3 linked regions of the Xenopus tropicalis genome follow. The protein of the gene in region 2 interacts with the protein of the main gene of each other region in a pairwise test. Links are inferred from orthologs where the notes say so. Each region holds a gene or a part of one and is shown on either strand. Other genes may lie near its edges. The genes, in order: epb41l3, ywhag and fam53c.

Region 1 (10,155 bases), on a different chromosome or scaffold from region 2:
AAAGAGGCATGGTTTCACTTTGTATTAGTGCCATTTTGAAAAGATATTAGAAGAGTTTTCTCAGCTACTACTTTTTGATAAACACTCCACCTTGTTTCCAACAGCAGAATCTGATAAGATACAAAGCCTGAGGAAATGCGGCGGGCCTTCTGATTTCCCAAAAAACTAGACAAGGGCACTTTCAACAGGAAAATTACCAAATAACTTTTACACAATATGTCAACTTATCTACTGCCTAAACCACACCTGCAACAGTCACACTGTCAATACACATATATTAACAGATTATAAGGCTGGGCTAAGGGGCTTTTAAAAATCTCTCCTTTGGCCCTGGCTTTATTGCACATTATAATACACAAGTTTAAATAAATAAGGGCTAAATCACAATCAAACACTACAAACTGCTGTCTCTGTATCAGAGGATTTTCAGACAAACAGGATTTTTGGACAGTTCTGTTTGCACAATCAATAAAACTAAGTTAGTGGACTACAACATATGCTTGTTAAGTGATCATAATATTTTATAAAAACGTGATTTATCCTTCCTTATTTTTTAAAGATAATTTGTAAATTTTATTCCATTAGCATCCATAGACTCCATTTGAACTGAATAAAAATCCTTGTCTAAAAATAAAGCCACAGCCATAAGAGCCTCTGGGCAAAAGGGAGATAAAAGGAACTTCTGAAATAGCACATCCAAATAAGGTGGCCTCTAAAAAATGGTTCCTTATCTCTAAAGCGATAATCTCCCATCACAGCCGCAGACTTAACCCTTGTTCGATCTGCAAAACCCTGTAGCCAGCAAAGCTTTTACCACATAAAATGAACAGTGGGCAATAAAGTTGTTTACAGCCTAGGGAAAAAATCCTTGCTAAACAAATTTCCGCTGCCGCCAGCTAAGTCTTGCTGATTATTACTACAACCTTTGAACAGTACAAGATTTTAACCTTTCACCGTGGCAGAAAACCCCATTAAGCAACAATATTAAGCTGAAAGCACAATTATGCTACAAAACCCAATATGCAATCCATGTATGGAATAAAAATTATAGTTTATAGGCACTTATAAAGCATTGCTAGCAAAAAAACGTGATTATACAGTGAAATTGTCAGCACATGGCACAGAACAGGTTACAATGTGGGCTCATTTACAGGATGCTTGCAGGTGCCACTTCCAGCACATTGGTGTCATCCGGTGTCAGACTTGTGGCTTGCAATGGTGCTGACTGGATAATTGAAATTATCATCAGCAATAATGATGGTACCAAGGTAGATTTGCACTGAAGTGATGCCACTGCAAATAAACTGACTTTTGTCCCTAATTTATTTAACACAACTATATGATTTAGTATAGTAACAGTTTTAAAACAAACTCCAAAGGAGAAATAGTTCTGTCAAAACAAAGTTTTTAAAAGCTTATAGTAGCATGCTAACCCAATTAAATTCCATCCTAACTTTTCCATTAAGCACATAAGGCAAATCTATGCAGTACGGAATTTTCATACATTTTCAGGACCTCTAATTGGTGTAAACACCGGCTAGATCACACGTTCAGAGATGTGATTAAAGTAAGCATAAAAATACACATAATGCTAAAAGGTTTGCAGAAGCCGAGCTAAAAGACTGAGTGATGCCATTGAGTATTCCACACTCATTCTGAAGCAGATGGGAGCCAATAGGTCTGTATCTCTGATCACATTCTTAGGTAATAATTAGAAAGGCAGGCATGAAATGATGGGCACTCACCCAGGAGACCCCTTAATGTCTTACCTTTTTAGTAACCCTAACTCAATTCAAATGACCAAAGTCAAATTTATCTGCTTTCTGGTTCTGTGTTGCTCATATGTGAACCCATATGTGTTGACCCAGCCAAAGCAACAACTACTGTAGAGACAAGCATCCATCCCCAGTAGATGTTAAATGGTTCCCACTGAGTTTAGGTAACATTAATAGCCAAAAACATGGAGGTAATAGTCCTGATAAAACCTTTAATGGTTACTATACAAAATACATGTGACTCAAGTCCCAGCCTGTAGTATGAGCTCTTTAATAGGATGGCTTTTCTTAATTCACAGCTTTCTCTACCAAGTGTCTTACTGTGGCTCATAAAAGCAAAATTTCACATTGATTAATGCTGTTGTAGATGTAGATATGTAGAATAAATATTGCCCTTTTAAACTTAGGGGTAGCAAACATGATGTAACTGTTTTTTTTCAATGTCAGTACAACACTGGCCCATATATATAGTAAAAGGCATCCAATAAGTCCCAGTAATATTTAGAATTTTTTTTTTTTACCGTAACGTGACCAAGCTTATATGCCATGCTTTGTTTACGGCTTTTGTCTGCACTAAAACAGCCCAGTATAATCAAATAAAAGAAACATACAACCTCGACAGGCAACTTCGGCAATTGCGGCGCCGCGTATGCCATCCCACTGGCGATTTACATTCTCGCCGGTAAAATGCCATTTCCGGGAGATTAGTCACCCGCGAGAAGGGAGATTTGTCGCGAGCGACTAATCTCCCCGTCTGCCACGGCCCTTAAGCCTCCACAGTCAGTGTAGAACAGAACTTGCTATGAAATGAAAGTGTATGAAAGAAGCAGCCACAGTATCACTGCTTAAAACATTACTATAAAGTACAGCAAAATTACATTTACAGGAAAAGCATCATATTTCTCTATCATGCATGTAATATATTGTATATCTGTTGCACATAACAGACATACCAAAGTATGGCAACACATATTTCACTTGACGTACAAGATAAATTAAATGAAATAACTGCCAAAATGCATTAGGGGCTGCATTGCACTAATATACCCCCAATGAAGGGCCCTGTGGAGGCCAAAATGTTGAATCAATACATTTTTGCATTTTTTTTGCTTTACAAATCCCTTGTGTGCTATCTGTTGTTGCTCTTAGGTTATACATATGCATGGACTTTGGCACCAGGGCACTGTACTAAGTAAATGGTGCGCACCATTATGGAACTTGCCATATATACATATACACATATTTCATAAGCACACACACATAATCTTAGCACAACCAAACTTGTCTAATCTCCAGATATTATGGCCCCTTCCTACTTCCTACCTATGACTCTTGCATGACTTCTACCAGTAATGGGCAACATGTACAATTTCAAGTGACTCAGATGTGGTACCTGGCTACCCAATTTATCTTGGCAAAACCTTTTAATCAGTATCAGACAGCAACACAAGGGTACAAAGAAAACTCCCAGTGGCTCCTGGTATGCCGGCCTATACCATGGCTATTGCCCATTTCTGCTTGAAAGAAAGGGTACAGACAGGGCCGCCGCTCCCTATAAGCAGAGTACTTAGTCTGCATAGGGCACCAACTCCCAGGGGGGCACCATCCCAGCTGCTCCAAAAAAAAACATTTTTATATATTATAACATACCCCCCAACACTGTCCCCCCGGTTTTTATAGCGCATCCCGCTGTCCCGGATAGTTCAATCAATCTATGGGGGCTATTGGGGGCACTTACTATGGGGGCATTGTCTATGGGGGCAATTGGGGGCTCTGTGTATTTTATTTTTACTTCCGTAATATTTGGGGGAGGGGGCACAAAAGTAAATTTCTGCTTAGGGCACCCATTTGGCCAGCAACGGCCCTGGGTACAGATATAGAGGGAAGAATAGATGATTGCTTGTAAAATGGAAATAATTGAAGAGAGGACAATAGGCTTGTGGTATAAGGTCTTCTTGTGTGCCTCTGGAATGCCTATCTGACACTGATTCTCTTCAGGGCACCCCATTCCAGTATATTATTCCTGGTGGGTCACCTAGCATTTGTGAGCTGTAACTGACCACTCATAGCACCCACAATCACTTGTTGCTCATCACTGATCTATATATCTGTATTATATAGCACTCCTGCGGTGGCAACCCCTATAGCAGTGCCCCTGGTCCCTGACCATTTATACCAGTGAGCCACATTTAAACAGGAAAAAATGTTGGAGAGCAACACAAGCATAAAAAAGGTTCCTTGGGGGGCCAGTAAGAGCTACAAATGGCTATTTGGTAGCCCCGATGTGGACTGGCACCTACCTTGAGGTCACGGAGAGCAATATAAGAGGGGTTGGAGCGCAATATGTTGCTCAGGAGCCACTGGTTGGGGAACACTGCCCTATAGTTATGCTCCTTCCTCTTATGATACCAGTGCTGAAGCCATCACTCTTCCCTTTATGCTTTGGGGTGTGGTATATTATAGTAAGGATGTAAACAGTTCTTTCAGTAAGAGCTTCTCACCACCCCTCCACCTTGCATTAACAAACAACTGACTTTAACACAAAGATTTTAGAAGTATCTGAGGCTTGAATTCAGAGATAGGCCTGTGCTGTGGGGAAGAGACCACATAGAGGATATTGATGTGAAAATGCATACATTCCTGTTCTCTTGCCAATATGCCCTTCCTAAAGCTCCACAGAGGGCAACAATGGGTCTGTTAATGAAGCTACAGGGTGTGCGCATAAAAGCAGATCCACTTTCCTCCACGTCTATAAAAAATAACTAAAGATAGGACCAAAACCTAATGACTGAAAGTGACAACGAGCAATTACAGTGTACAGGCTATTTTCTCTATTACAACCTTTTAACCTGCTTATTATGTTTTCTTCGACACAGGTAAGAACAATATAGAAGCTACTGTTTCTAAGTATTACTTAAATGCATGACTTATTCTTACAAGACACTAGAGGAAGAAGACTGCAATTCATCAGCAGATAATCTATCACTTATAGCCATAGGACTACAAAATCATAATTTGCTAAACTTCCCACCTCAAATGCAACAGAATCATTCTGATTAACCTGTGCATTGACCCAGCCTTATTAGGTGCAAAGGAACAGATAATTAGAAACTTGTGTAGAGAAAGGTATCCTTCCTAAGCTATAGTCTCAAATGTAAAATAAACAATAAAAACATAATGTAATCAGACCTTATCAGTGCATGCAACACTATGCAAAGATTATTGTGAAACCTCAGTTACTCACCAACAGCAGTGTAACCCCCACAGCAAGTATGGTGTCCACACAGATGTTCATGAAGTCCATAATCCGATATCAGGATACATGTAAAAAATGAAAGGCAAAGTTAGAATTTCTTCAATGTAAATGAATACGTTTCAGGAAAGAGAAGTAAAATGGATGGATTTTCCACGTACTATTGCCAAGATTCACAGACTTATTTCACAATCAAATCTGTGCTAATAGTAAACGTGACACTGCATATGCTGACTAGAGATATCTTTTTTTTTTTTTTTTTGCTGTCCTTGTATCCTGTGGTTTATTAGGCAATATAGCACACGATCTTCTGTAAAAAAAGAGAAGTAACTAAGGGGAATAGGTTAAAATAAAATAACATATATTGAACAGGGAGCCAATTGACAATGATGAGTGTTGGTGAATTTTAAACCTGTGACAGAAATATTATTTCTAAAAAGTGACATGAAAAAGTTATATCACTTAGCACTCCAAGCAATTCCTGCTGGACATGCCTACTCTACACTGGGTTATTCTCCTTCATTTGAATGGAAAATAGGTGCAGGGGGGCAAAGGGTATAACTGTGTGGTTGGGAACAGTATCTGGGCTTGGCAAGGGTGTAACGGGGTTGTGGTAACTAGCTTCTCAGATTTCAGTCCAATAATGTGATTGCACCAGGGCACAAAATCAACAAAGGGGCCCATGGGCACATAAAATGTCTTTATAATTAGAAGGCTAAGAAAACTGCAATAACTTGGACATGGGTAAATAGAGGGCATTGGATGAAGAATCTGAGGGTATTATGAGATGTGGAAATAAGTGGCAACCAGTGGCATAACTATTGTGGACCCAGTGATATTAGTGGCATTGTGGAAAAAATCTGCCTCTTCATAAAAATATTGTTGGCGGGGCTGTTGCAAATTTTTACTCAGGGCTCACATGACCCTAGTTATGACACTGCACCAAAAGCTGAGAAAAAGCAAATAAAACCACTTTACCAGAATGTACATTAATATACAAAATGCAACCTTATATGTAACAGAATAAAATGCATAATGAATGTTTGCAAAAAAGCAGTTGGAGTACAAGGAGGGTAAAACCTAACATCTGTTTGCATGTACAGATCTTAGCACATTCTGTTAAATAAAAGCAGACATTGAAATCTGAACTGATGCTGGCATCCTTTTGCAAGGCTGACAAGGCAATCTGTTTTACTGGGACTTCACTCCTTTCCATTCCAAACTGCAGCTTCTACAAATCAAAGCCTACACATACCAATAAAAAAATACACGTTTTTAACATTTTCACATCCCAAGAAAAAACAATGACTTTGTCCTGGTCACTAGCTCAAAAACCACCCTCATTAAACTCCATAAATTCAAGCTGATGTTTGGCATAAATAAAAGAGAATGACAAACAGGTCCAAGATATGTGTACTCTGGAGAAAGCTTCATTTAGAAATTGGCATCTTTGACATCCTTCCACAACTGTTTTTGTAAATGAGACTATCTTGCAGATCAGGCTATGCTACACAGAAATCATTTTGCACTCAAATCGACAGCATTCCCAACCCCAGATAACAGTCTGCTTTAAGAACAGGAAACAAAATGTTAATGGGGTTAAAAACAACCCCTGGTAATAATATCCATAATTACGAGAGCCATTTATGGTCATTTGTGCCAGTGCTTTGGTTCTGCTGACATAGGTTTAACTTTGCCCTATGATCTTCTATTAGTCATCAATACTCAAAAAGCAACAGCTCAACAATGTCTCCTGCTCAGCACAGGCTGTCATATCTGTGATTAGAGTGCTAGTTAATCTTTGCTAGAAGCTCTATCCACCCGTCCCTAATTCCAGCAAGGTCTACTCTAGTGCCAGGTGATGTGACCTCAGAATGCGGCAACATAGTTCATATACATACACTCTGCTGTGCAGGATTGTGTGGATGATAAAGAAATATACTGGGTGCATGGACAGATGGAACCTAGGGGGGTTGTTCTGTGGTGCTGACTATTAGCATACTGAAAATCATCTGGTTATAACCATAATTTATTTGCTATGTGTGTGAAACAGCTTACACTGGGTTACTATTTGCTCAAACTAGAGATCAGAGCCACCCACGTGAATTGCACTGGGGATTTAAATGTACAAGAGAGACTATATACTACAACATTTGCTTGTCTGGTTACACTGCCAAAAAAGTGTATTTTTGCACAATTTTTATTTGTCCCCCAGCAGAATGGTTCTCTAAAGGTAAGCCTGCAAGCCACATGCACAACTTGATTCATGGCCAACATGACTTTCCAGCGTTTCCTAACCTGGCACATTTATTCTCTTCATGCTCATCTCACAATATTTTCATAAATAAAAGGGTGCAGCTCACCCCTTATTTTAAAATCTGTTCTGCTTCGAACTGTGGTGAACCCAACTGAAACAGCAGTGAGCAGTGAGAACAATGTTAATCCGGTAGCTGTATCTACTGCCTGCCGTCACACTAAAAAGCAGCACGCTACAATTTGGAGTGGAGCACCCACTGAGAGTACCATTGTGTTACAGATGTTTAGTGAAAAATCTGCTGATGTATGTGACAAGAAAACTGAGGGCCCCTGTGGGGTTACAGTTTTTGTTGCCCTACTGTGATCCACCCCTCACTACAGCCCCCTTACCCCATATTTACAAAGCTATTTCAGCACAGTGATCCTAAACAGATGGAGACAGAGTGAGCTCCCAATCATTAAATAAAATAAAAACTATTTCTAGTTGAAGAATCAACCAAGTTGTCTTGCCTGCTACTTGCAAATAGTCACAGGTAGTCTAAGTGATCCTTGACTATGGCATTAGACGAGAAGGAGCTGCTTGTTGGCCACTGGAAAAGATGCCAATGCAGTGACTTCTACCCCACAATTCTGCATCGAAATCTACCCACAAGTACATAATAAATATGGGGTTGGAGGCAGCAAATCAGCAGTTTCTCTGGTGGCAACTTAAAATCTGAAAAGGCAGAGCAATTGATAACCCTCACCCCACCTACTTACTCTGATGTTATCCATCAGAGTTTGAAAAAGCCTTTTAAATGCTGAGGGAATTTGTGATCCTTCTACTTGGGTATTCCAGAATAAAAGATATCAGATAAAAGTCAAATGAAACAGGAAGAAGAAATGTTATTGTGAAACAAAATAATATGGAATCAATCTCAATACACACAAAACTGTTTGAATCTTTTATCAGTCAGATATTGTATGTTTCCAACTCTGCTTTCTACTGACTTCTAAACGTTATATAATGCAACAGCACTTCATTGAGTCCCAACTGATGCTGTGGGTCACGGATACAGATCTGTGCTCTAGCTGTGACATAGCTGCAATGAATGACTTTCTAAGGCACAGAACTGCCATCAGTGCAACAAGTGTAGTCCCTCAGGGTCAGGCACATTTATCAGGCCATATTTGTTCTGCAAACAGAAATAGCATGTCCGCCATGCTTATACATACCCAAAACTATAAGCACACCTGCACATTCATTATTTCTTTTTACTTCTTTTGTGCAAATTTTAAATTCATCTGATATTGCAACTAGCAGAAAGCAAATTTTCAAATTGGTGCTATATGGCCCTTAAAGGCATAGTAACACCAAAAAAATTTAAAGTATTTTCAAGTACTTAAAATAAAATGTACTGTCACCATGCACTTGTAAATCTTTGTGTTTTTAAATATACCATAGGCAACTAGAATTTATATAAGTACACTGCTATGTAGCCACCGCAGCAGCCATTCTAGTTGAAATAGGGCTATATGGCACAGGTTACATAGCAGATCTCTGTAGAATGCCATTGTATTCCACAGAGTTTATCTGTTATCTGCTGCATAAGCTGAGCCTTTTCTCCTTTTTCCAGCATGGTTGCCCCTATGGCTAAACAGCAGCACATTTATATAAGCTATAGTAGTATTTCTAAAGCAAACACAGCCCAGTCCAGGGCAACAGTACATTATAATTTAGTTACTTTAACACACTTTTATTTTTGGGCTTTCTGTTACTTTAAATGTAACACTTGCATGGATCTCCAATAGAAAATGATTTCGGATGGCAGCCTTGGCCCTGTCCCTTTTAGAGGAAACAGGAGTCAATACAAACTTCTTGCCAATAATGCCCTGGCTGGGACTGAACACAGGGCCCCAGCTCTGCAAAGCAGCAATATTACCATTGTGCCACCAGGCTGCCTTCCTAATACCACTCCAGTATTCTAATCCCAACATCCCATAAAAAATGCACATTCATTCCTTTAAGGATGCCCTCTGCTATGTCTAGAGGAAAATGTAATCTCCTGCTTTTTCTACGAAGGGACCACCTTAACAGGCATGAAAATGAGAATGTTAGCAGTAAGAGAGTGATACACTGCTAATGTGAATTAATTAACAAATATGATGCAAGACTGACAGAATCTCTCTGTAAAATGGCATAAATATACACTGCAACAAAGTAATGATGAAGATGAATTAAGAAAAAGAAAATACTGTAATGTGTTTATAAAAAGCCAAGGTGAGTCACAATTCACAAACATCACAAGTCCTATCTTTTTTCACAACAAACCTTTACATTACATCAGATGTTAATTTTATGCAAAGGTAATTGTAGGTGGGCGCGCTCGGCTGCATTTCCACACTCAGCTTGCAAATGCTGGGACGCAGGTAGGCAAATGACAGCTGGGGCAGACAGGCTTTAATCTCAACACTGCACTTGCCTGGCCGAGACTGCAGGGACAAACCCCAGCCCTATAGGGAATACTCAATGCACTTCTATTCGCCAATACAATGCAATCTCCCTATCATCTATACTTGTGTTCCCTCTCTTTATCTGAATCTGTCACTATCTGCATGTAATCTGCAACATGTGCAGTGCTGTTCAGTAGATGGATGTATACATCAAACATACAAATAGTGTTAGAAATAATAAGTATGAAGCTTTTGCCTGCTATTTTGTGCTGAAAGTTGCACTTTGGGTGATAGGTTAGACCAATACATGTACAAGTTTTCCATACACATTTGATGAGCACATGTATGCACATATCCTATAAGATACATGTTCCACATAAGTTGTCTGTCACCATAGCCCCCCCCCCCCCCCAACCCTTGAGCTTTGTTGTGTTACAA
Region 2 (10,155 bases):
TTTAATCTACTGTTCAGCTTTCTGACAAATGGACAAAGCTGGGTCCTTTGAATGTAAAAGGGACCCTCCGGGGATAGATAGAAGAACCAATAATCCTATAGGATCCGAGTCATGGACACTGCCTCACACCGCACATAATTCAGATTAAAAATTGTATTTGTTATTCTTACATGTAATTTCTCACCTCTGTTGCCATATCAAGCATCAGACTATCTAATAATTTAGCTGTACAATTGATTCAGGCTGTAGGCAAGTAATCTTTCAGCATGATGTTGCAATGATGATACAGAATGCACACCCCCACATCCAGTTACATCAGAAAATGTTTGTCACAGTATTTTTAGAATATTGGCATTAGCACAATTCATTATGAAAGCAAAAAATGTCTTCAAAAAGACCCATAAATATAACTCCACAATCTATGAAGGTGCTGGGTTCAAGGCAAGCCCTAAAGCTTAAGGAGTTGTTCACAACTACAACGGTAGCCGCAAGGCTACTAAATTGGCCAAAGTCAGTTGTGCAAAAAATTCCATTCATTAAATGTAATGATTGTAATGTAATGGTTTTTCTGTGGAAAAACATCTATAGTGTATTGTAGAAAAAAAATTGCTTGGCTTGGAAAAAGTTGACCATTGACTTTAAGGCATTTTATGCATTTTCATCATTTTAAATTTTTTTCGATAAAGCGAAGCAGAAAAGATCTGCCTGTTACTAATTTAATGTACAGGTATAGGATCCATTATCCAGAATGCTCGGGACCAAGGGTATTCCAGATAAGTGGTCTTTCTGTAATTTGGATCTCCATAACTTAAGTCTACTAAAAAATCAATAAAACATTAATTAAACCCAATAGGGTTGTTCTGTATCCAATAAGATTATTTATATCTTATTTGGCATCAAACATAAGGTACTGTTTTATTACTACAGAGAAAAAGGAAATCAGTTTTAAAATTCTGTATTATTTGATTAAAATGGAGTCTATGGGAGATGGGCTTTCCGTAATTCAGAGCTTTCTGGATAATGGGTTTCCGGATAAGGGATCCCATACCTGTATTTGCATGAAAAGCCACTTCCATATAGTTGTGCTTTGTGCTGCCTTTATTCTGCCTTCTGTCAATAACTTTTTTTAGCATCCTAATCATACGTTATTCATATAGCATTGTAAAGTTATGCAGAACTTTACAATAATTTGAAACATACAAGCATTACAGAATAAAATAAGATTAAAGGACAGGAATGTCTTGTGCTAACCGTGAGTTTTATTAGTGATATTATTATAATTAGTGATTTTGCTGCCACTGTGCCTATGCACCCATTTTGCCGGAACCTTTTTTGATGCACAACACATTTTTTTGCAGTGGATTTTCGCTAAAGTTTCACTAAACAATATGCCAATAGCGAAATGTGGAAATTTGCTGCAAATCCATGCCTGCCGAAAAAAATCGCTCATTACTAATTATAATAATAAATTCCTATAGGCAGAATTTCAAAATTAAAATAATATTTTGTACATGACTTTTGGGAACACCTGCCATTGCATTACAAGAAAGGGTCAGGAATAGCAACCTGCTAAGAAATAGAAAGTACAGCAACATATTTTCCAGTAGCTATTATTTATGCCACCTAAGAAATTGTTTATAGCACATAGTCTCTTTCCTTATTCTTAATTACTTTACCCAGGGAAAATTGTGCTGAGACAAACTACCAAGAATTGTGCGTCTTAGAAAAATCTTTGGCAAACAATGTGGTTATAACAGATGTCCACAGATGTCCTGCACAGGCCATAACCACATAGAAAACCCATTGCTATGCGTAATTAGACTTCATAAAATACTGAGCAATTGTGTACAACTCATTTTATATACTTCTTGTATACTTTAAGAATCTAGTGCAGGGGTGTCAAACTCAATCACAAAAGGGGGCTGAAATCTAAAACAGGCTAAGTTGCTTGCCAAATTTTTTATTAAGATACTGTATGGTCAGGCACAGTCACCAGGGGACACATAAAACAGCCAGAAGTGCCTTGTGTTTGACACATGTGATCTAGTGCATAGGACACTTGTGGTCTAACATATTATTGATCATGGGGCCATATGGACTATTCAACAGTTTGAAATGAACACACTCCAGGAAAATATCACACATTTTGCAGAAAATAATAATATAACTTTTTTTTAACTTCCTGCTGTGGTTAGCTACCCTAGAAATTGTTTTTATTATTTACTTTATTATTTAGGTTGCCTTAATAATTCCCTTTTTTAGAGACACCCTTTTGGGTCAAGGACCCAAGTACTGGAGTAGTAAGGAAAAAACTGGGAGAGCTTACAATCTAATAGGGAAAGGAAGTGAGACATATATGGCAAGAGTAACCAGTTTGGTTGTAGAGTTCCTGTTGGTTAGGATAGTAATGAGATGTGCATAGTGAAAGATGAATAATCAGTAGTTAATGTGTGGGGGTAAGTAAAGAGGATTAGGAAGGTGGTCAAGTTGCTGAGGGCTTATGTTATAGGACTTAATGAACAGGTGGGCTTGTTTAAAAGCATGGAGGCTCTGAGTGTGTCTCATGGAATATGGCAGAGAGCTCCAGAGGATGGGTGCAACACGTACAAAGGCCTAGATGCAGGAGTGAGAAGAGGTAACAAGTAAGGAGGAGAAAAGCTCATAGGGTTGTGATTGGAGATGTAATGTATGGTGGTGCAACATTGTTGAGTGCTTTGTGAGTACAAGAATCTTGAAGCAAATTCGGTGTATGACATTGACAGGTAGCCAGTGCAGAGACTGGCAGAGAGGGGCATTACTTGTGGAGTGGGAGGAGAGTTGTATGAGGGTAGCAGGTGTTTATGATGAATTGGAGTGGAGTGAGTTTAGACAGGGGGGTCTGCAAAAAGTGAGTTACTTAAGACTCGCGAGTCTTTTTCGGCGATTTGCGCGAAATCGCGCCGCCGCGTCTGCCATCCCGCCGGCGACTTACATGTTCGCCGGTGGAATGGCAGGGGTAGGCAACTCGGGGAGATTAGTCGCCCGCGAACAGGGAGTTTTGTCGCGGGCGACTAATCTCCCCCGTGTGCCAGAGCCCTAAGTCTAAAGAGGATATGCCTAAGATGTGGATAAGAATCTAGGCTGTGTCTTGGAAGGGTCAAAGGGAAAATGCAGAACGATTTAGCAAGCATAGCAAACATGGGTAGAAGGATTCAACATAAGTCTGTTTAATGGTGGCTGGTGTGAAGGGTATATTGATTATTTATTAAAGGACAAGTAGGAAAAATTCACCGTACTGGGTACTTCATCTCCACTCTTTCTCAGGAAAGATGGGTAACGTTATAAAGAGAGACTTAGGATCCAGTGTGGTATTGCAACCCCCTACAAAATATAAAAGGTGCAAAGTTTGTTCCAGGTCTAATCAACTATAGCAACTAATCATCAGGTAGCATTTACAGGTCACCTGTTTAGCAGCAAACACCTGCTGTTTGCTATGGGTTACTACACCAGGGCAAACATTGTACCTGTTATTACATAAAAGACTAGGAATTCTGAAACGTGTTGAGGTGGTTTTCTATTTTTAATTGTGATTTTATTTAGCTCACAATTATTTGTGCAAGGTTTAACATTTCGTCCTGCTTGTTATCAAAGAAGGCTGATGCCACAGCAGAACTGGAGGTGTGACTTGGGTTGCCACCCTTGCCATGGGCTAAAACTGGGCAAAAGGGTAGGCCAATAAAGTTTGGGCAGAGCTAGCACATTGGGGATGATGCTGTGATGTTGATGCTGGGTTATTGCATAATTTCTGCCCAGTTTTCAGAACATTAAAACCCTGGATAGAAAGTTTTGAAACTGATTGCTCTTGAAAAACTGGGCTCTCTGGTTCAAAACCAGACAGGCTCCTTTATTTGATCAACTGTGGTTTATAGGCAAAATCCACATAGTGTAAACATTTTAATAAAAAACTACTCTTACTAAAATTGCTCTAACATATATGTTGTTTCTAAAAAGTCTATCCTGAGCACCAGTCTTCTCTCCCTTCTCAGCAATCTGTGAATTGTAAACAGGTGGCATCTCTGCAGCGTGTTCTCCCAGCAGGGTGGCACCGGGAGGATGTCACAGCCTGGAGCATTTTGTTTGTTGAAACATCCTCCAGTTGCAACAGATGAAACGCTTTAGACTGTGAAGTCACCCAGATGCTTAGAAGCCTCTGTCACAACAGATGGAATGTTCCATAGTATACAATCTGATATTGTATTCATTTGTGCATAGTGTTGCCACCTTTCTGGGAAGAAATACCCGCCTCCTTATAGTTTAATCTAATTTTCTATTTATAAACTTGGCATGGACCATCATTTTTACAGTCCAGGCTGGCAAAATACTGGCCAGGTGGCAACCCTAACTGTGCATAGCATCAATTAGTACTTATCAGAAAAGTATAGTTAACTCAAATGCCATAAAGGCTTTTCCAAGTCACAGGGTGTGACAGTAAAGTTTAAGCTTTTAAACTGTTGGTAAAGTTTGTGCCAAGTAAACATGTACCAGCCAGAATGCAGGCCTCCGAGCCTATCACATTCTGAACTGTTCTGACAATGGAATGACTCTACCTGTGTGAATATTACAAGGCACCCAAGAGTAACAGGACAAGTATCACGTCAGGTCAGGCTGATGGAACTATGAAGATTTATTGGATTCCCGGTACACCATTCAGCGTTTAACAAAACAGAACACCCATTTGGAACAAGATTATGATAAATGTTACCGTTAAACTCTCAAGTTAGCAGCTACTGACAATATCAAATTGGAGATATCCCAAATATCACTGCAGGCGATAAGCGACTAGAAGCCGGAGAGCAAGGAGGGAGACGTAGTCTTTTGTTCAAGGCGTTTCCCTACATGCACATCGGTACCGCATGCCTAAGAAAACTACGATTCCCATCAAACCATGCGGATCTACCCTGCCACCCTGTACCGCACTATTTCTGCCTGGAACCACCGCCCCGCAGTCAACCAAGACCTTTTAGTGATCGAAGCACAAACTGCTGCCCTTGTACGGTGGGTGACGGCGCCAAGTAGGCGGGACTTATATTTATTCCAAGTGACGTCAATAGGCTGGGAGGCGGAGTTGGAGTGAGGCAGTCGCTGGAGGTGCTACAGACTGGGTAGTAGCTAGATAGGCAAGCAGCCGTTATTTGCTAGTAGGTGACAGCGAGAGGAGGAAGACTTGCAGATAGCTGTAAAGACGCATTTGACATTTAAGGAGGCTTTGCCTTGGTCCAGCCTCTGCATCTGTTCTGCGCTGTCTCCGCTGCAGTCGAGTGCGAGTCGCAAGCCCCGAACCCATCCGCACGTTCTCTTCGCACGGTCTCGCACTCAGCAACATGGTGGACCGCGAGCAGCTGGTGCAGAAAGCCCGACTGGCGGAGCAAGCTGAGCGCTATGATGATATGGCGGCTGCTATGAAAGCCGTAAGTGCGATGATTGAGAGCTGGAGGGAATGTGTGTGGCCGACCTCATAGTTGTTCATCAGTTTATTACTATGATAAGGGATCAATGCATTTGTACTATGGACACATCTGCAGAGGTGTATCTCCATGTGGTTCCGAGGTGGGCATGTAGGGAAGCTTACCGATTGTATATAGATGGATAGATATAGATATTGCAACCTGTCATTTTCCTTTTTACCGCTTGTCAAACAGCTGACCTTTAGTCATGCACTTCCAGGCAGGGATGCGCAACCTGCGGCCCTCCAGCTGATATGTCACTTATCTATCAGCCCTCCAGCTGATCTATCAGCCCTCCAGCTGATCTATCTATCAGCCCTCCAGCTGATCTATCTATCAGCCCTCCAACTGATCTATAAGCCCTCCAGCTGATCTGTCACTTATCTATCAGCCCTCCAGTTGATCTATCACTTACTATCCACCTGGATGCCACTGTTGGCTGGACTACGCTGCCCATTCCTGCTTTAGGAAAGTGTAAGGGATTTCCCTAGAAGCATTAGTGTGCAGCGGGCATCTACAGTCTGACTCTCCAGCTGAGAACATCAAGTAATGCTGAGATTTGTAGTTCAGTAATGTTAGGATAGTCCAATTAGTCAACAATGTAGTTTTGGTTAAGAATGGATAAAAGGTATTGAGGCATAGTTGTGTTTCCTGTCATTGTGCTGTTTCCCAGTATCCAGGCATGGCATGTATTAGACGCCTATGTAGAACATCATTTATTCACAATGGAATTGTGTTGCCTTGATGATAACTGTGAGGGGGTTGCCCAGGAATATCTTCCCATGGCCCCTCCCAGATTCTCCTAATTTGCTGCATTCTTACTGCTACTGGTAACATTTGGAGACCTTGTGACAGGGATGTCAGACTTGCATCCTCTCAGCTTCTGTGGGACTGCACTGGCCTGGTTGTAAAATCATTTCAGTTATAGGTCAAATAAATGCTGCTGCTCACACAGGGTATCTGTGACTTATAAAGACACTTCTCATCTGCAGACAAACCTTTTAATGGTAGCAGCAGCTATTTCTGCATTTACCCTTGGGCCCTAGAAAGGGAACACCATAAATCCATTGCAATTCTATGGGGGGGGAATGCCTAAGTGTACATGTATGTACTTTGGCTGTTGGGAGGGAGGGGTGGTGACGCTTAGCAACTGCTGAAGAGATGCATGTTGGGCTTCCTCTCTGTATTGTCAGACAAGGGGCCTGTGGAGTAGACATTAGAAAATTGGGATAGCCCTTCATCCCTCCCTTATCTTCATCCTTACAGTTATTTTCTGTAGTTATGACACTTGGGACATAGTGTTACTATGGCATGTGCGCATAATTATAAGTCCTAAGATGGAATATGAATTAACTTTCTATCTGAAGTTGTCTAGAACTAGTTGTGTCCTGTGCCAGAATTCAAGTCTGCATGGAGGCTGTACACATTAAAGGCAGGTGATAGGATATGTTTAAATGATCAAAATTGGGGCATTTTGATCATCTGAACATATTTGCAAGTAGTAGTCAGCACAATACCTTGGATTTCTTTTAGATTAGTGCAGGTTCTCCAATGGCCACTTCTCATCGGCATATACAGACAAAAAATAGTTTTTTTTGTATTTCTTGTTTAAAATGCCTTTATTGCATACATCTTAGGGCATTCCAACATATGTTATCACCTGCCATTAATGTGTACAGCCTCCATGCAGACTTGAATTCTGGCTCAGGATCCGATCCCTAGTAGTGTTCATCTTAAAACCGGCATCAGCCACCTTGTATTTATTCCAATACAAAATGGTCATAAAACAGGATTGTCAAACTTGTGGCCCTCCTGCTGTTGAAATGCAGGTCCCATTTCCTTTAGCTAATATTTGTAGTTCAACAGTCCAAAGAACTGCTTGGGGGGACATTGCTGGTAGTAGTTAATCTGGTATTTTTTCAATAAAATAATGCATAATTAAGGTTTCACAGAGAAAATTATTTTTATGTAGGACTATATTCTGTTTTCATGCAGAATTACCTGGTATATGAAAACATGCAGGCATTGTGAGCTTTCCTTTTATATTAAATCAATTTATTTTGTATTTAAATGATTTAAAAAAAATATTTAGGAAATAAGTAGAAAGACAGGGTTAAAATCTGGCCTATGATGTGATCTTTGTGAAACAAAGCAGTAGTGGGAGGCAGTACCAGCCCTTCCAGAAGATTCTGCATTTGTCATATTGCAGAGAGAGGCTGGACTGGTTAAAGGAGGGAGGGGAATCGAGGGGGGAAAAAGGCAATTGTTTAAAAGGATGGCAAAGTCCTTTTTATTTATTTTTTATACTTGATTGTAGGGATTTTCAGTGATTCCAGGCACTGAATCTCCACCATATTGCCAACGAGCTCTCACTCTTTCTCTTAGTTATAATGGAAGAACAAATATATATTGTATATATTCCACTGTATTTGTATTGTGGATATATGTTCTTTTTTTGACATTATGTTAGTATTGATTTTTTTTTTCATTTTACCCTTTGTGAATTTATTTTGTGAATTTATTTTAGCGAATTATGTTAGATCTGCATATATTCAAGTTTGTTAGCAGCAGGGGAACAAATGGCATGTAACTGATGTCTGTAATTGATTTGTTATATTTTATCAGATGGCTTTTGAAAATGATTAAACAAATAACATAAAATTTTGCAGCCCCATTTTTGTGAAGCTACACCGTCAGGCTACAATTTGTCCTTCCCTGCCCTCATCTACCTTATCTGAAAAAAGTCGCCTCACTGATTTCCATAGCAACCTATGATGATGTCAGAAGGAGACTAAATCTGCATTGCACCCAGGTGGTTACCAGACAGCATAAATGGCTTAATTCCAAGGTATTAATGTCATGTAGCCATTCATTTTGTAGGTGGTTCTGAAGATATATATCCCTTATCTGAAATATATTAAAACTCTGCTACTGACATTTGTCAGGGTTAATAAAGTGAAACATTTTAGGTGGTCTTATCAAAATTTGTATACTCTTACCAATTAAAACAAGAGGACACATGTATGTAAGTCACAAACCGTTCTGTATTATGCAGTTGGGGACTTAGTTGGGGCCTTCCATTTGTGGAGAAATAATATACAAGTATCTGCTCTGCAAAATATTAAAGTGCTTATGTTTAGTCTCCCAAGATATACATTTTATAAATTGTGAGTATTTTGTGAGCAACTCTTTAGATCCTTTTGACCTCTCTCAAAATTCCAGATATGTTTCTGTGCAGTGAGCTCTTATAAATGCTCTGATTTCCATATTGTAGAATAGATGATTATGGTCCTCATATATTTAGAACCTCTAAGCAATAGCTATAAATAATAAATGTTTATGCCTGATATATCTCTACTTACAAGTTTATTCATACCGTCCACAACAGGACTACAGGATTCAATAGATAGGTGCTCTGTGCACAGCCTGTAACAGGCTCAGTGCATCAAACCCAATCAGCGAAGCTGCACTACAAGGACAGACAATCAATTACTGTAGTAAGAAGGGAGCACTGACCATGCAAAATGCTTGCATCAGGCACAGCATAATCTTTGAATCTAAAAGTTGGAAAAGTGTTTTACTTAATAAAAGAATATGCGTGTATTAGTGTATCAAGAAATTAGGTCCCCATTCTTAAGAACTACCACCCATATTGGGTAATAGGTAGTTAAATATAGCACTCATTTGTATATCTTAACTACCTATTACCCAATGAGGGAAGTAGTTCCTAAGAATAGGGACTAGGCACTCATTTCTATATCTTAGTGCGACTTACTAATAAAATTTGGGCATTTAAAGTTTTTTGTTTTTTTTTAATGGAAACAGGCCTCCTTAGTTGCATCATATGTCACTAAAGGCGGTCATACGTGCCCAGACCTCGAGTATTTACAGTAAATGCTATTTTTAGTTATGTGGGAGGAGTATTGCGTCCAGTGAATCAGGAAGCTTCAGCCTCTGTTTCCCTTCTTCTGTCATATGACTTTCCTAGGATAAAAAGGTGGCAGGGGATTTAGTTTATTGGATAAGCAATGATTGTCAGTGAATGCTGCTATGATAGTTTTATTAAAGAATATAAGCAATGCTGTTATACTTTATAGTCTGATTATTAAAACCAAGATATAGATATGGGATCTGTTATCCAGAAAACTCGAAATTACGGGACAGTTATTTCCCATAGTCCTTAATTTAAACCAAATAATTGGTTGGGTTAAATTATTGTTTAAATTTCTCTGTAATAATAAAACAGTACCTTGTATTTGATCGTAACTAAGATAAAATTAATCCTTATTGAAGGAAAAACAATCCTATCTGTGGTGGTCAAATAACAAAGATCTGGAAAACCCCCAGGTCCCAAACATTATGGATAAGAGGTCCCATACCTGTATGTATAACACACATATTACACATGTATATGATCTTTTATCCATAATGCTTGGGGCCTGAGGTTTTCTGGATAAGAGATCTTTTTTTAATGTAATTTGGATCACCATACCTTAAAATTATTTACACATTAAATAAACCCAGTGGGATTGTTTTGCCACTTATTACAGAGAAAAAGGAAATACATTTTACAAATTAAAAGAATTTTCTCAATATATCCCAAAATACAAAAGCTTAAAAAATTAGGTAATTTTCAGGAATGCAATTATCCATTATAAAGCCTATAAAGAGC
Region 3 (10,155 bases), on a different chromosome or scaffold from region 2:
GATAAAACTTTGGAGACGTGCTCTGCATGCTTGGGATCCCCCTTCACAAAACTCATTAAAGTAAGTATCTTGCATGTCTCTAACAAGTTTAGATTCTATATCTATCTGCTCTCTCGCTCTCCACACATTATATAATCTCTATCAATTTTTTACATATTAATTGGTAACAATATTGGTGACATGGGTTACGATACATCTTGGTATAAATGAAAGGGGAAAAAAAAGGGGGGGGGGGTTGGTTATGATGGAAATGGATAGTGTATATAGTGACAGGTGCTCCTTTAAATCCAGCGGGAGAAAAGGGGCATCCAGGTAGAAGTCGGGGAGAGTCATTTGTATCGGTTATCGATTGGTGTTGGAGTTCTTGTGTTCTGAAAGATATCCAGGCATCCCAGAGATTTCTTGATGTTGGTCAATCGAGTCTGATTAATATAGCAGCAATATAAGGCATAGTATGTATATATTAGCCAAATGTGGGGCCAACCAGTTCAAAGCGATCACACAGCGTGCTGCAGTGTGCTATGAACTGCAGTGTCAATTTGTTCTGGGTTTTTGTTAATTTTTTTCAAGGGTAATGAAAATAATGCCAGCTCAGGGTCTGCAGTGATACCTCACAGTGCTTTTAAGGAATAGTAACTGTAACAAGGCCTATTGAAATTATTATTATTTTTTACCATACAGGGAGGAGTGCTCATTTAATTCAACACAGAGGCTACTGGACTCTTGGCTACAGGAAAGCGACTCTTTGCAAAACCTAGACATGGACTGGCTTGGTCTGCAGGTATTTAAATGCTTTAGTCTTTTCCCTATTTGTTTCAGGTGATGCTTTGTGCTCCCTGTCTTAAAAAAAAAAAAAAAAAAAAAAAAAAATATACACCACTTATGTTGACTTCGGTACCAGCCCAAGTCTACCACAGCAGTGAAGATCTATCTCCGAAGATGACCCCAGTAGCTCCAATTGGTACACAACACATACTCTGAGCTTAGGGACTAACTCAAAATATACAGTATTTTTACAGTTTAATGATAACAGGCTGGTACCAATTCAAATTTACATTACTTGGCTCAGAATAAACTAGCACATTCTGCATTAGAACTGGTTGATTATCTGCCCTGTATCTTTAAAGGAGAAGGAAAGCCTAAGTCACTTGGGGGTGCCAAAATGTTGGGCACCCCCAAGTGACTTAAATCGCTTACCTTGTACCCTGGGCTGGTGCCCCTGTTAAGCGAGAACAGCACCAGCCTGGGGTAGCTGTGAGCGCTTCCTCCTTCCACGTTGATATGCTGCGCATTAGAGTGAAAAGCTGAACTTTAACAAGAAAATTGTTTTTTCACTCTAATGCGCATGTGCCGGCCCAGGGATTTCGCTGCGGAGGAAGGAAGTGCTCGCTACAGGTACCCCAGGCTGGTGCAGTTTTCTCCTAACAGGGGCACCAGCCTGGGGTAAAAGGTAAGCGATTAAAATCACTTGGGGGTGCCTAACATTTTCACACCCCCAAGTGATTTAGCCTTTCCTTCTCCTTTAAGGAGGTTACCTCTCTAAGTGGTGGTGTGATAAGCCCTGGCTGTCCCTGCTTGTTTGTATACCAGTAATCATATAAAGCTAATATGTAAATGAATAAGGATAGTTGGATGTTAAGATTCATAATGTATCTGAAGACTGACACATGGGCTAACTTTTTTTTTTTTTTTTTTTTTCCCTATCACAGCTATCTGCCCTGCAGAACTTGGGCTACTGTGAAGACCAGATTCAAAATTCTTTTGATTGGCTGCCGTTTCGTGATCACACAAATAACTACACCTACCCACATTGGATAGGCTTGTAGACCCTATATTATGCTACAATCAGTCACATCTTTTTTTGAACTTTCAAGGATTTATGTGGTCAATACTTTAATTACGACATTTATTTTTTGCGTGCGTTGAAAGCAAAGGGCTTTAAAAGAGCACCCTGGAAGACGGGTTCTTCTTCTAGTTTGTCTGCATACCTTTCTCTACTGTACAGTTTGTCTCCTACCAACAAAAATAAATGGCTTGGTGCATCTTTCTTAACTGCTATTATAAATGTGTCTTTATAATGCTATAAATGACTGACCTCACGCACTGTCTCGGTATTCTTCTTTAGGGGTGAAATGATCTTTGGCACTAAAGGAGGTTAGTTTTTTCCAAATGCTGACCATAATTTTTTTTTTTTTAGCACTAGAACGTGCCTTATTTGCACTTGCTGTACAACAACTGGCTTTAGTATTGCTGTCTGGCAGTAAGCAAGTGGTTGTGCCAATCTTTTGTTTGTTGTACGCTTGTCCTTACGTTATGTGGTATATAGAAATACCTCATTCTAATTGTGTTGAGTGTTTGAAAAGTTCTATGTTTGGTTGGAAACTTAGTGTTGCACTATAGAAACTTCTAAACATCTGGTTCATATAGTCACACAGCTCCCACAGTCAAAATTTTTAATGTTTAATGTGTTGGCTATTTGTATATGATTTTTAAATAAATATTTTTATTGTAACTTTTTTTGTACTCATCAATTTTTTACATAAGCATTTATGAAAAGCTGCATAACTTCTGCAGCTCGGCTGTCTTTCAATAAGTACCAAAGCAAATGGCCCTCCCTCCCCCACCCCAAATCTGGTTTATTGGGCTGCTACTAAAATTATTTTTTTTCCCCCACTTCCCCTGCCTATGTACATTTTTAACTAGTTCTGTAAAATGCTAGCTTTTACAACTTTTTCTTTTCGTGTGGTAAAACAAAGCGTGTGTATTTTTAAAAACGGCGTGCTTGTGTCAGAACTGAAAACTTTTGGTTTCTACACTTGTGTGCACCACAATATGTCAAGCATGTGGGCCTCAATTTATGGAAGCACAAAAGCTAAGAAGGGACATTAAATGAGCCTCTTCCTTTCTAATGGCAGATGACTATTGTTTGCAGTGTCTTGAGCAGATTAAGCACCGTGTTGGATCCCATTTATCGGGGGGATTTAGAGTTTTGTTCCCCCACCCCAGAGCAGCAAAAAATATGTGTGCTATTACTATTCTTCAGCGAAAGGAAGGAGTAATTTACTCCCGTAGCTATAAAATATTTCTTGCCATTTATGTTAATCTGGTCATACACACACCGATAATATTGTACAAAACCTTGTTTCGTACGATATTCGATGCGTGTATGGCAACTCGGTGAGGTGACCGATATCGCAGAAGGCTGAGGATATCGACTTGCCGATTGGGCAGGTTAAAAGATTTTGATTGGGCACCATTTGTTTAGGGCTGAATCGGCAGAAGGAGGTAGTAATCCTATTGTTTCTACCTCCATATCTGACGATTCATCAGTGGAGGGTTGGAATGATCTTTCATGCGACCATCTGTTGATCGAAAATCACTACATGTGGCCAGCTTTAAGCAGTGACAATTATAAACAATAGTTTTATAAAATTGTAATGTGATGTAATTCTCATGCAAAGCATGCTGGTACCTTAGCAGCTGCTCCCAGGATATGTTCCCTCTTGTCAGAAAGCTTTGGCTGAAGATATCAGGTTTTTTCTATTTTGAATATACTTAATGTAATTTTTTAATCTGGTGCTTTTGTAAAGCTTAACATTCGTAACATTGGTTCTAAATTGTAGTTGTTTCCGCAGCATTCTATAAACTTTTCCCCCTTACATAGGTCCTGACTTACCAGATCGTCCATACCGAGCGATGGGGCCCTAATAATAAGCAGTACACCACAGAAACAAGGTTTGTCTCTGAATGTAGTTAAGGGGTGACCGTCCTCTGAAATATAGGGCCACTAACAACCCAGATTACAAGTTCCTAGACAGCAGTAAAAACCGCATACTCTCTGCACTGTTCAAACGCCTGGAAACTACATATTCCAGCAACCTTTGCTTTCGCATGAGCTCTCCGGTGTGGGGGGAGCGAAAGAGTGGCTTCTGCTACGGCGAACCGCCCACGCTTAGAGCGCCTCTGGCCACAAGGTGTGATTAGGCGTTTTGCACACAGTATTACCTTTGGAAGAACTGGTACTGATGCTTACAGGTCATCCGCCTCACCGGTAGTCGGTAGGTGTACCGCTATTTGCCCTGTCTATAAAGCTTCATGGTTTATCCCGCAATGGGGACGGGACAGCTCATTCACCTGAGAGGGATATTGGGCCGACTCCGGGATGCTGCAAATCCATTGACCGTCATCTCCGTGCTTGTATCTCTGAATGTAAGGGAAGTAGGAATCATTTATAATTAAATCGGCTTATAGAAACCGGGTATTGTGAATTTCACATCTCAAATTGTAATGCTGTACACAGCAAGCTTCCCCTATTTGAGTGGTATATTCTGGGTGGTATTTAAGGGCGCTGCAGGGCCGCTGCTGGCTCAGAGCTGCTCCGGGTCGCTGGGAGGGTCGTTGCTGAAACAGGTAATTGAAGAAGAACAGGTGGGGTGGTAGCGGGAAGGTGACGGGGAGGTTGTTAGAAAAGCGAGGCCTCTGGAAATCGGGCGGTACGGGATGCGGCCCCTTTTGTAGGCGCTGGTCAGGCCATCTCCTGAGGAGGGAGATAAACAAGCCGTTAACTCTTCATTTTCCACACTTAGAAATGCAGTCACAGGGTGGGGGGCCCACTGCTGCCCTCAGCGTAGCTGCTCGGTTTTGCCCAATAATATGTTACTGAGCAGGCAACCAACTACCTTGGTGTAAATGGGTTACATACATTTCCCCATCCTCCTTCAAACACAACATGTCAGCTTTCTACAGCATTCGCGTAGTTCTCAGATAATTCTGTTTTAAATAAACCTACTGCCGGTGCCATTTACTAATATTTGCAATGTACCCATTGGAAAACAGACATTTTTAATGCTGCTCTGCCACTGAGTGTTTGCCTGGCTTCTAAGGCCTATGTCTTGGTGATCTAAACCTTGTGATCAAAAATGTAAAATGATTATTGAATTATTGAAATGTGTAAACTGCCAACATATTACGTAGCCCTGTATAGTAGATGGGTGTATACATCAAATATGCAGATTCCATACAAATACTGATCAATGCAGGAGGCAAAGAAGGCCCATCTCTGTAGAGCTTGCAATCTAAAATCATTTGGCTTAAACAGTGCAATTTTTCTATTTGTTCAGGTATCTGGAGGCATGGATAACATACACAGACAATATATGTATTTTGCGAATGGGTAGTTTGTCAGTAGCAGGTCACGGTACATGAATGAATGAAATTATTCATAAACCAACTTGTATTTTGTTAAGAATCAAAAGCAAATGATGTCCAAGTTTTATTCAGAACACATTTGACACATTATGGGGCCTCAAAAATATCCATTGACGGGGTGTCCAATTTGCAGCCTTCCAACTCTTGTTTAACTACAATCGTGGCTTTCCTAACAGCCAGATGTATCTCTGGTGGTGCTAGGAACTGTACTTCAGAGGGGGAAGAAAGATACAAGCTGGACATTGCTGATCTGCTGGTTTACAGTCCAGATATTACTTTTAGGTAAATTAGACATCTTGGCTATCAGTTACGTTTCTGGACTAAATTGCTACAACAAAATACATGCATCTTCCAAGAATATTTCTTGTTGCTACTGATTGTTAGTGATTGATTTTAAATGTGTAGAATTATAAAGCTGTTGACTGATTGTGTATTTGGCTCATGCAGGATGGAGTGATGGGGTCAATCTGAGCTTCCACTTGGGTCAGGCCCAATAGATCCTGGCACTTAATGGGCCATCATGTGCTATAACCGTTACTGAAAACACAAATGAACAGCCAGACCTGGGCATCATGATCTCAATGATTACGGAACAATTGCAGAAACAAAGTCTGGAGGATCTAAAATGCAAGTCTTTCAGTATAAGTCTGGTAAGGTGTTCCATCAATCTTCCATGCTTCCATTCCATATCCATACTGCATTTTTAAACTTGAGAAGTCAAGGAATTTCTATATATATCAGCAAACTATTCTTGTAGAAAGTGCTAAATGCAGTGTTTAAAATCAGTGAGTTTGTAAGAAAAACCCAGATTCTGAAATTATATGTTCTATCCAGCTTATCTAAACCATCATAAAGGAAATAGACCTACCCCTAAAACTGATTCTCTGGCACCCCAAGCCTGTCAGTATTACACTGTAGGTTTACAAATATTATTGCCACTATACTAGTTATGGTGCATTTATTTAAAACTCATCAAGGCAGTAATAAAATATGAACTCTGTGATCATAATTCACTAATGTAAACTCCGTAATCTAGTTTACTTTTTACAGTACATGGTCTGCCCTAGAACCAGTTCAACCATGAATGATGTAATATAACTTAAACTTGTTAAAATGTTCTGGTGGTCCGGTTACTGCTGACTATAAATCGTCCCTTAATATAGAAGATGCCACTGTAACACGGACTACATAAGGAAGTAGAGTCAGTTGTAAACACAGCAGGCACATTTCACATTGTAAGATCTTGAAGAAGTAGAGCTGCTTGTGCTAAGGAAGTTTTCTTGTGCACTGTGCAGTGTTGCTTTAAGAATTAAACCTCTTGTGGTTGCTGGACCATAGCTCTTGTTGTGGTTGATAATATACTGGTGGTTGTTGGAATTTGTATTAGAGCAGCATTGCTATGGTAGATTTATGTCCTCTTAAGATCCTGTGTTCTTTTTTTAACTTTGCTACTAGTAGAATTCAGAGCCTATACATTTAGCACATTTAGAAAATATTAGTAAGTAGCTAAACTTATAATTTAGGGGGTCATGTAGATGATTCATTTGGTTATATCTGGGGATTAGGGAGTGAGGGAACAGCAGCATCTGTGAGTGTTAGGTATCCTAACACTATATCTTGTGTCAGATTTCTCAACAACAAACCCAAGTATTTTTTTTTTTTTTTTTTGCACTCTGGTTTTCTTTTCTGGAAGATTACACTTTGCCACCCTCAACAAAAAGTAATTAGAAGTAATTAGAATTATTTTCAATTTTTCTTTCCATTTAGACTAATTGCAGTGAAATTCTGCTTCATGCTATGCAACTTAGATATTCCTGATCAGTGCTCTGTGTTCCATAGCCCTTTAAGGAAATGCATTAACACCAGTCAAATAAAACAACTTGTTTAAGCTAGCCATAAGTTTGTTGGGTTTTTGAACTAATGGAAAATTTGCAATTCAGGGGTGGAACATTAAAATGTTGCTTTAGGGGTGTTCTGCATGTTAACACAAACAAATGCAAAATCTTTCCAGATATTTTACTGTACCAATGCTCTAAATTTTCCATATTGAGAGTTTTATTCATGTTATTTTTATTGACATTTTTCTGATTACTGTAGTCCAGATATCTGCAGGTGTGTTCCAGCCTTGCCAGTTTGAAAGTTTATAAAATAATGACTGCAGTAGGTATCCATACACAACTCTGAAATGGTGTTCTACATAAGAATTTAAGTGCTACTTAAAGGAGAACTGAACTTTATAAAAGAATTAGAATAGACATGTTACAGCATATGTTTTGGACTTCTGTACCAGCTCAAGATCACCACAACATTTGGCAGTTAAGAGCTGTGCTCCAAAGATGCCCGCAGTATCTCCAGTTCTTTGCTTCTGATTCACAGTGCATGTTTTTAGCTACTATCAGTTACTTGAACCTAGGGGCCAGTTCATCATATACAGCAGGGATCCTGAACCTTTTGTACTTATGAGCCACACATGTAAAAAGTATTAGAGAGCAACACATGCATGAAACAATTTCTTGGGGGGTGCCAGATAAGGGCTGTGATTGCCTATTTGGTAGCCCCATGTGGACTGCTGGCCTGCAGAAGGTTCTGCTTGAAGTAAAACTGTGTCTCTGTGCTTCCAAAACTTGCCTCCAAGCCAGAGTTTTAAAAAAGGCCCCTACTTTTAGGCCACTGGGAGCAACATTAAAGGGGGTGGCGAGCCACTAGTTGATATACAGTATAAATATAGTGTAAAGTTAAATAAATAAGGCTGATTAATTACAAATTCAAAGTTTCTTTACATGACAGCATAGAATTCTGCATCAGAACTGATTTATAATCAGTTCTTTAGCTTCAGCTTCTATGACAGTTGTAATATAACTTTCTTCTAGTGCCTTGATCATTTTTGATGACCCCCTAAGCTTAGCTGCTAAACCTCTAGGCTGGTACAGTAAGTTCAGTATATAAAATATGCTGTTTCTACTGTAATCTTTTTTTAGACTTCACTTATCCTTTAAAACTAATTGCAGAGTGTTACTGATACACTGGGGAAAATAGTATGCCGGCAAGTATTATTTAATATATATATTTATAATAAGGTCCTCCTGTAAGCTGATGAGCTGCTTAGATCCTGCCTAGTTAGCCTTGGTGGAATAGTACCCACAGTTCTGATATCTTCACCATAAGTATAACTGGTGTGATGATCTAGTAGAAGCACTTATAATAACTGTGTAATGAGTATTTTATTAAATTAATATTAGATATTTAAAAGAGCTTACAAAGTCTCACTTCTGTGCTCTGTGGACCACAAACGAAAAATCTCACCAATACAACTAGTAAAGCAATTGGTATCACCGAACTAGTCAGAAGGTGAAACCTTGGTAAATAATTACTTGACTGTTGTTTATCTTGTCATGTTGGAATTGCAGTGGTATATATGTGTGGCTGTCTATCTTATTTAGACTCCTTCCAGCATGTAGCATCTGTTTTGCCTCTTGCTAGTATTTATGTATATTATGTGCCCGATGACTCACAGTGTTGCCTTAAATCATCCAAAAAGAGAAATTCACTTAAAGAATTATGGGTGAAGACATGCAAATTACTTTTTTATGTTTGTGGACAACTCTTCAACCAAAACCGTTCATGTAATTGTGCACATAGAGGATTAAACCTAGACTTGTAGACAGCCTGTTTCTGCAGGAGGATATTGGTTCTGCAGGATATTGGAACATGGCTTCTGAGGGGTAGGATGTTGAGAAAAGGTGACCGTACCAGGGCTGTGGAGTCGGTAGATAAATTCTTCAACTCCGACTCCTCAGTTTCTGATACTTCTGACTCCACAACTCCGACTCCTCTGTTTTTAATGTGCTAATGTATTTTATACATTCATACAGTCAATGAAAAGCATGCTTCATGGTCACTCAACGTGTTCGTTTATGCACTGCGTGCATTGGGCTTTATTCTTATAGCAGAGAGGTAATTAATTATGACTGTTTGTGAATTGGGACATTTAAACTTGCTTTATTTTTTTTTTTATTCCCATTTAAATTTAGTAGGAGTCGGAGTCGGTTCATTTTTTGCCGACTCCAGGTACCCAAAATTGCCTCCGCCTCCGACTCCACAGCCCTGGACCATACACAAAAAATTTTACCTCGTTTTGTTGAGGTCGCCAAACAAGCAAATCTTTCCCCTGATATTTCCATCTTGAGTGGGCGAAATCATGCTTATGCGATCATTTGGGCCTAGGGTCAAACAATCCCATTACAATGAACTGGATACGAAAAGTCGAAATGAGCTGTCAAAAAACTCAAGCCTGCCCGGTCGACATCTGGCCAATATTTGTTTAGGTATCAGTCTAGGAGCCTTTCAGAGGGCCCCATACACAGGCATATAAACTGCCGAATCACCCTTAAGGACCTGTATAGGCAGCTTAAATCTGCCCATGTATGGCCTCTAGGAATGCACCATATCCAGGATTCGGTTCCGGAATCCACACTCCACTGGCCAAACCGAATCCAAATCCTTAAAAATCACTTGACATTTTGTCACATAAACATGGAAGTTAAAAATGTCTTTGCTGCGTGCCTGGAGCGCTTTAACCCTTCCATATTCTAATTTACATATGTAAATTAGAATTTGGTTCGATATTCAGCCGAATCCTTTACGAAGTATTCAGGGTTCGGCCAAATCCGAAAACAGTGGATTCGGTGTATCCCTAATGGCCACCTTAAGCAAGCCTGATCCTACAATAAATTAACAAACATGGCTAACAGAATGAAACCAGGGAATTGCCCTTCTTACAAGATTAATGTCAGACAAGATAACAGATTGTTTTCAAAGAGAAAAAAAGTGCCAGCAGTGACAGGTAGTTTTCATTGTACATTGTAGGCGTGTCACAGGCACTTTCAGCATTTTTCTGCTTCATGTCACATGATACATCAGCACTTTCTTCTCCCCATACATAGTAGT

Evidence for each region.
Region 1: the proteins of ywhag (region 2) and epb41l3 interact in binary tests that used the Homo sapiens proteins (3 or more experiments, as listed by UniProt). The link is inferred for Xenopus tropicalis from reciprocal best matches to the Homo sapiens genes YWHAG and EPB41L3.
Region 3: the proteins of ywhag (region 2) and fam53c interact in binary tests that used the Homo sapiens proteins (3 or more experiments, as listed by UniProt). The link is inferred for Xenopus tropicalis from reciprocal best matches to the Homo sapiens genes YWHAG and FAM53C.

Annotation. Positions count from the first base shown.
Region 1 is NC_030682.2:106,250,850-106,261,004, reverse strand, and holds the start of epb41l3 (band 4.1-like protein 3), read right to left. Parts: upstream 5,148-10,155; 5' UTR 5,020-5,147; intron 1-5,019. UniProt on the Homo sapiens protein: Tumor suppressor that inhibits cell proliferation and promotes apoptosis. Modulates the activity of protein arginine N-methyltransferases, including PRMT3 and PRMT5.
Region 2 is NC_030678.2:94,293,037-94,303,191, reverse strand, and holds the start of ywhag (14-3-3 protein gamma), read left to right. Parts: upstream 1-5,220; 5' UTR 5,221-5,360; coding exon 5,361-5,447; intron 5,448-10,155. UniProt on the Homo sapiens protein: Adapter protein implicated in the regulation of a large spectrum of both general and specialized signaling pathways. Binds to a large number of partners, usually by recognition of a phosphoserine or phosphothreonine motif.
Region 3 is NC_030679.2:48,025,093-48,035,247, forward strand, and holds the start of fam53c (protein FAM53C), read left to right. Parts: upstream 1-3,914; 5' UTR 3,915-4,058; intron 4,059-4,100; exon of another isoform or gene 4,101-4,209; intron 4,210-4,277; exon of another isoform or gene 4,278-4,410; intron 4,411-5,655; 5' UTR 5,656-5,780; coding exon 5,781-5,858; intron 5,859-10,155. Other genes in the region: oocyte-specific histone RNA stem-loop-binding protein 2, read left to right, coding at 1-60, 682-781, 1,710-1,826.